Linked DNA regions of Caenorhabditis elegans. The protein of the gene in region 1 purifies or fractionates together with the protein of each later gene. This does not show direct contact. Each region holds a gene or a part of one and is shown in the gene's direction. Other genes may lie near its edges.

Region 1 (3,600 bases):
CTGATTTTGCATGTTTAAGAACGTGTTGACACCACATTTTTTGGGAATCATTCCCGCATTTTTTGTAGATCAAACCGTAATGGGACAGCCTGACACTACGTGTGGCCACTTTTTTTTTGTTTTTTTGTTTGTCGATCAGCCTTATTAAAATTCCGACGACTCAGGTAACACTCCTCACATAATGATCAACACATGGGACAAGATCAAAGAGACCTTCATTCGTGACGCCGACACATACACAAACAAGGTCGTACTCCCTATGGTGACGTTGTCCCGCGGCGGCGAGTACGGAATTATCGATTCGAATGGAGCCATGTGGCGAGAGCACAGACGGTTTGCACTTTCTACAATGAGAGATTTTGGTCTTGGGAAGAACTTAATGCAGGAAAATATTCTGATGGAGGTGCAGGATGTTTTTGCGAGGCTAGATGCAAAACTGGGATCCGAGACGGATGTTCCGGAAGTTTTCGATCATGCAGTTGCGAATGTGGTTAATCAACTTCTTTTTGGATACAGATTTATGGGGGTTTCATAGAAATTTTTAGCATTGCCTAACCGATGAGTTTCAGCCCAAAGAAAATGAATATCAGGAATTAAAACATATTATTGATTCTCCAGCGGAAATTTTCGGAAAACTTCACATATTTCTAGCCATGAATATTCCAATATTTGCAAAGCTGTTGCCCGAATCTTTATACGAAGGACCAATCAAAACTTTCCGGGATACTACATTAGCATTTTTTAATAAACAAATTGAGGCACATCGGCACCGAATAGATTTTGAAGATTTGAACTCAGAGAGCACAGATTTTGTAGAGACCTTTTTGAAAGAGCAGAAAAGACGTGAAAGCGAGGGTGATTCTGAAACTTATAGGTAGGAAATATGGGAATATATTATAATTTTGAGCTAACAGTAAAAATTTAAACTTCAGTAATATCCAGCTTTTGAATGTTTGCATTGATCTTTGGTTTGCGGGCCTCAACACCACAACAAACACTATAACATGGGCAATCAGCTACGTTTTGCATCATCCAGAGGTTCAGGATAAGATTCATGAGGAACTAGACAAAGTGATTGGAAGTGATAGGCTTATCACCACAGCTGATAAGAATGATCTTCCGTACTTCAACGCGTCTATAAATGTAAGCACGGGCGGGTTTCTCAACGCGTTTTCAAGGTTTCTAGAGTACCTTTTAGTACACGTTATACTCCAAGTTTAAATTTTACTAATTAATGTGCAAAATATTTCAGGAATCACAACGAGGTATCAACATTCTCCCCCTGAACTTGCAGCACGCAACCACCCGTGATACTGTGATAGATGGGTTCAAAATCCCCAAGGGCACTGGAGTGGTTGCCCAAATTAGTACCGTTATGAATAATGAGGAAGTGTTCCCAGATCCGTACACTTTTAATCCAGACAGATTTATCGATGAAAATGGGAAATTGAAGAAGGTAGACGAGCTCGCCCCGTTCTCAGTCGGAAAACGAAGTTGCCCGGGAGAAGGCCTTGCTCGGATGGAGCTTTTCCTTTTCATTGCTAATTTTTTGAATAGATACAAGGTGAGTTAGCCTATCGCGTTATGAAAACTTTAGATGAAAACGATTTTGCAGATACATCCCTCAAAAGAAGGCCTACCGTCAATGGCCAAAGGCAGCGGACCAGTGGTTGCTCCGAGGTTGTTCACTGCGATTCTAACAAGAAGATTCTAAGATCGCAATGTTTTTGGGTTTCATAAATGCTTAAATTTTATCGCAAAATTTCAAAATTAATTAATGATCTTCCACCTACCTTGACATACTCGTTGCATTTTACCGTGATTTCTGAAGTTTGTCTGTAGGTTGGTGTTTTTCCGGATTTCATAAAACTGACTTCCAAGAAAGTAAATTAATTCAGTTTTTTCTTTTTGTTTTCGAATTAATTAACTGACCGAAAAACATAATTCTTGACTTGTCAAACAATTCATTTTAACAAAAAAAACTAACTGAAAATGAATGTCACAACGCCTGTGATAATCTCAATGATTGGACTTTTACCGTCAATTTTTACATGCGTATTGAATATTTCTTTGTTGAAGCAAATTGAAAGGTTATTTAAATTTTCAGCATTAAAACTTTTTTCTACATTCAAATCCATATTCAGAAAGAAAAAACATTTAATCCTTTTCAAGTTTCGCTTTTTCTTCGATGTAATTCTTGGTGCATCGGTTGTCGCTCATTTAGGATTTTATATTATTTTAACTAGTTTTCACGATGAATTTTTACCATGGAGAAATATGATTTTTTATTTTTCCCTGGTATCTTGGAATATCGGAGCGGCTAGGTCGTTGACCGCCTTGACAATTTCGGTGGAACGTGTGATGGTACGTGCTGTGCTGAGAAACAGCTAAAACTGGTTTTTTTAAAATAGTTTGCAAATTATTCAAAAGAGTATTTGTGATAGAAAAGTTTATAACAACGTAGAAGTCACAAATAGTAATTTCAGGCTGTATATGTACCGATAACCTACCGCAACTACCGCCCGTATTTCCCAACATTTGTGATTCCAATTTTTGCAATTGGCTTCGGAGCTTCTGACATCTTCGTTCTTTTTAATATTTGCGACTACCAGGTCAACGTTCCAAAGGAGTGTGCTGCTTTGGGATGTTGTATTAATGCTTGTTTCAATAAATATTACAGCATCAATAAAGGGGTTTGTTTTCCCGGCTAAAATATCTAGAATATCTCATATAATTAAGACAGCTTATATTTTGACTGTAATGTTTGCAATACTACTATCCACGAAATTATTTTTTCTTAACAAAGACTCAACTGAGCAGAAAACCCTGTCCAAAGTATGTATACCCGATTTTTACTAACCCTTCATAATTTACACTGTTACAGGCTAACCTTCTAGCTCTTATCGATGCGGCTAACGTGATTATTTTTCACTTTTCACCAATTCTGTTTGCGTTTTTGTTCAAGCACTGGTTTACAGCACAGGCGGAGATGATTTTAATCCAATATCTAAATTTTAAATTTTCAGAATATTGGGCCAATTGGAGTGGTATCAAAAATGTGGGGTTGTGCCTTGGAAGCTCTGCTGGTTTTTGGGACATTAAGAAAGAAGAGCGGAACAAAAACGAGCACTGTTAATGTTATCTAAAATGAAAAATCTGAAAAAAAAAATCTAGGCTACATAATAAATATTCTCTATTCTGATTTTTTAATCAGCGGAAAGTGGATGGAATTAGTAGTAAATTGACATTATCTTTTCCCCTCTAATTCTCCCAACAAAATACCTGTAGCACAAACTCCACAACACACTCAACTTCTCTGTGTTATTATTCCCAACGACTACCTCTCCCTTACCTAATACCCCTCTCACATATCTCGACATCTGCGTCTCCACGTGTCACAAACCATGAACACGCCCGGGCGACCGGTACATAAGCGAATAACATTGCGGGCTGGAAATGTCTGATTTCTACAGCGATGTTGATTATTTTGTTATTGACTGTTCTCACTGTCTACCTTGTTTATGAGTTGTATTGGAAGCGGAGGAACTTTCCACCCGGGCCATGTCCGCTGCCAGTTTTTGGGAATTTGTTGTCTATCGC
Region 2 (3,833 bases), on another chromosome or scaffold:
TGTTATTTTCCCTTTTGCACTTTTCGTTATTTTTTTCTGATAAGATCTCTCCGCTATCAGAATCCATAGTAGTGATGCCCATGATAGTATGCTGCTGGCCACCAGGCGGCAAGATCTATCACTTTTCCTATCCCCTCGGACGGATGGATGTCAGCTTCATCTCCTTTTGCTTCTCCTTCTCCACTCTTCCTTCTTCTACAGCAAAAGCCATTCATATCAGTCACTCACTTCTGGAGAGACAGACACTTAGACCAGTTCTTTCCTTCGTGTCTCTACATCTCTCAGGCTCTAGCCCATTGATCGCCGGTTTTGTATTCTTGCTGTGTTTACTGTTAGATGGGCTTAGGAGCTATATTTTAATTTTTAACATTCCGTATGGCTTCGTTTTGTGTAAGCGCATTCAGTCTTCATTAAATTTGACAATTGGCATATAATGCGAAATGTCATGACAAATCTCTCATGGAAAAATTATCGTTCTGAAAATTTTTTTCAATTACATATTTTTACTTTATTTCTTTGATGAAAGGCTGGTATGTTATAAGTGCCTACCTACCGCCTATCATCTGCATATTGTCGTGAACTTCGGTGCTCGGTATTAGGTGCGTGTAGATTCAAAATTTTCCCATTTTCTTATTACAATCAGTTTTTTTAAATTCTAATAAAGATATGTAGGCAGGTAGGTATGTGTTTTTGCTAAGAGTTTCACGGGTATTTTCTTATATTTTGAATTGTCTACTGCTTATTAAAACAACAGAGTTTTCTTCTAATTTTTACCATTTATCAACATCAGTGGTTTGAAGAGTTGGAAACTTTAAAAAAATTCAAACCCCGCCCCTACATTCGTCTAAAATTTTATGTAGTTTTTGGAAGAACCCTTTACTAAATTTTGTACTTTTATTTTATAAATTTACAGTTTCAGTAAATTTTTAATGAGACGTTATAATTTTTTTGTCATATTTTTGTTGTAATAAGGCTAATAATGTGCATTATTTGAGCTCCCATTTATTACAATACACTTTTCAATAATGCACACTTCAGTATCTACTAAAATTCTACTGAAACGACATGAAAGATTCGAAAATTGTTTGGAACTAAAGTTCACCTCTCTTCACCCGCCATCCCATTTTTCTTCTCATTTTTCATTTTCAAATCACCAAGACACAATCATACGCACGATTCTCACAAAACGTAAATTCCCCATTATCGGTCAACCTTTCTTTTCTGATATCAGAAGGAAACGAAAAACAGATTTCAAATGGTTTCTCTCCTTGCATTTGCTTCCTTCATCATTAAAGTTGCATGTAAAAAAATATTTTTGGTTTTACTAGTTGCTAGTAACTTTTTTGAACCTTTTATAAGACCATCTATTTTTATCACAATTAATTCCAAATCCGTCTCGATGTCAATGTCGAAAAAAACCCTTAAAAAGAGATAAGAGAAAAAGATTGACTAAGCCATGATATATCCTTTATCAGCTGATTATCCCCCTCCTTCGTTATCATGATCGCAATCATTGGAACTCGTTTCGTCTTTCTTGGTGTCAACAAAACATTCAATTATGTTGATTTTATGCTTTACTCAATCTTTTAAAATCAGGAAAACGTTATGGACAAGAAGTACATGAACTGCACACGATGTGAACTTTGTGGAACTGCAGACGTCATTTATGGGTCCACATTTATGGAGTATTCGATTCTTCTCCGGTTACTGACCGCTCCCTTGGCAACAATGGGAATGGGCTTGCTATCAGCGACAATTGTCAAAACAAAAGGGATTCATATCAATACGAAAGTGATTTTATTGGTTTTGTGTATTTCTGCAATTATTTGTAATACAGGTATGTTTGCAATTTTTAGTTTACGGAAAACCAAAATCATGAAAGGGGTTTTCTTTAAAAATAAAATAAAATTTGAAAAAAAATTTGTTCCTATAATACTTCTAAATTTAAATGATGTTCTTACTTTACTGTTCTTTGAAACTACACTAAATTGTTTTATATTGTCAAGTTACCTGACGACGAACATGATGACTCATGATTAGTTTCTTAATTTATTTTTCACTGCTACTGATTTATATTTGCCAATCTTCGAACATTTTCTCGTCTCCGTTGTGGTCTAGTGGTTAGGATTTATGGCTCTCACCCATAAGGCCGGGGTTCGATTCCCCGCAACGGAATAACTTTTTTGAATATTTTTTCATGATTGTTTCATTATTGCAGAAAACTTATTACAAAAAAGTAAAACATGTTCATTTTTTATGTCTTCCAAATAGTTAGTCAGAGAAGTACAAAAATTGAATGAGACTGGAAAATTAAGTAAAATGGTATTCAAAAAATTGAAATCAGTACGAGCTTATTTAAGAATGCTCACTTCTTTTTTTTTTGAATTTAACTTTTGATATTCAGGTATAACCGTGGATTGTCTGTATAAATTTTTCATATCCAATGTCATGCCGGATTATATGCAATGTGATTTTCAAGTATTCAGTCCACAATATGGATTAGGTAAGCATCAGTGAAAAATCACATCATTTCAAGTTCGTTTCAGTGATCAGACACATTGAAATGCTTGGGGCAATGTGTCTATCTACATCCTCCGTAGCACTGGCTGTTGAACGAACAGTGGCTACGATTTTTTATCGCAATTACTCTCCAAAACCTACACTCGGATCAATTCTCGTCGTTGTCCAGGTATCAAATTAAAACGAAAACATACGAGAAAAGAAACAGAGGCCGAGTGAGAGATAGAGACGATGATGATGGTTTTTTGAACATCACGTTCCCTTAAATTCTCTCCTATTTTATTTCCCTTTTCCCTTTATATCCCGTCGGCGGTCAGCCATCTCTGATCACTACATTCTAAGAATAGAAGTGGGATCTGCGAGATGAACGAGAAAGAAGTGATAAAGGAAGAAAAATGTTTTACTGATAATATAGTATTTGAAAAAAAACAGAACAATAGTTTTGAAAACGGGAGATGGACAAAAAATGGCAAAATTTTGAAATATTCTCATAAGCTCACTAATATACACAAAATGAAAATTCGTGCTCAAATTTTTCTTACACAACCCTTGAACACAGCTAATTGCGCATAATGCAGCCACATTGCAATCTAGAAAAAAGTACAATCACTTTTTTGGCAATGTGTGCATTGTGCTTCCAAATTGATTTGGATGGTTCTTGATAGATACAATTTAATACTCACTTAATAACACAATTTAACAGTGAAGTATTCATCTGTGCCAAAAATTTAAAGATTAATCTTCAACCATATCATAGGAACAACAAAATGTAGATAGAAAATATTTGCATACATTTCAAATTAATTCTCGTTTCAGGTACTGGTCAGCTCCATCCCATTCTGGAACATCAGACTGCCCAAACAAATGTACCCATATTCACCGCCAGAGGTAAGAATTGAAAAACCTGAAATAAGCAGTTTTTTTGAAGATTTTTTTTTCTTGAACGGTTTTCAAGTTTAATTTATCCATAGAATAACAACTTTGCTAAAGTATCCACAAAGTATTGCTTGTCTGGGAAACTACAAAAAGCGGAAGTACGGTAAGCGCGTTCAGAGCGCTGTTTACATTTCAAAAACAAAATTTTGCGGAAGATTGATATTGTTTCTAAAGCTATAAAATATAGTTAAGAATCACACAATATTCATAAATCTGTTATAAAAAATTAACTTTAATTCATAATTGTCTTGCCCACAAAATGACTATCTAAAAAACAGTGTTACATACAATATTAATAACAGGAACACAATAATTTAGGGCTTCCATGTTGGAGCCGCGATCGGAAATCTTTATAGCGATGCGCGGAACCCAAAAAG

What was found. Proteins that work in one complex are often made in the same cells at the same time.
Region 2: the proteins of srbc-16 (region 1) and K08B5.1 fractionate together in Caenorhabditis elegans (co-fractionation; one large-scale study listed by BioGRID). This does not show direct contact.

The regions. Positions count from the first base shown.
Region 1 is NC_003283.11:2,180,046-2,183,645, forward strand, and holds srbc-16 (Serpentine Receptor, class BC (Class B-like)), read left to right. Parts: upstream 1-1,992; coding exon 1,993-2,364; intron 2,365-2,486; coding exon 2,487-2,693; intron 2,694-2,739; coding exon 2,740-2,835; intron 2,836-2,884; coding exon 2,885-2,983; intron 2,984-3,026; coding exon 3,027-3,146; downstream 3,147-3,600. Other genes in the region: cyp-33C1 (CYtochrome P450 family), read left to right, coding at 165-526, 570-874, 933-1,143, 1,253-1,564, 1,616-1,714; cyp-33C2 (CYtochrome P450 family), read left to right, coding at 3,476-3,600.
Region 2 is NC_003284.9:16,556,839-16,560,671, forward strand, and holds the start of K08B5.1 (G-protein coupled receptors family 1 profile domain-containing protein), read left to right. Parts: upstream 1-1,595; 5' UTR 1,596-1,605; coding exon 1,606-1,837; intron 1,838-2,100; exon of another isoform or gene 2,101-2,195; intron 2,196-2,404; coding exon 2,405-2,503; intron 2,504-2,546; coding exon 2,547-2,689; intron 2,690-3,336; coding exon 3,337-3,408; intron 3,409-3,833.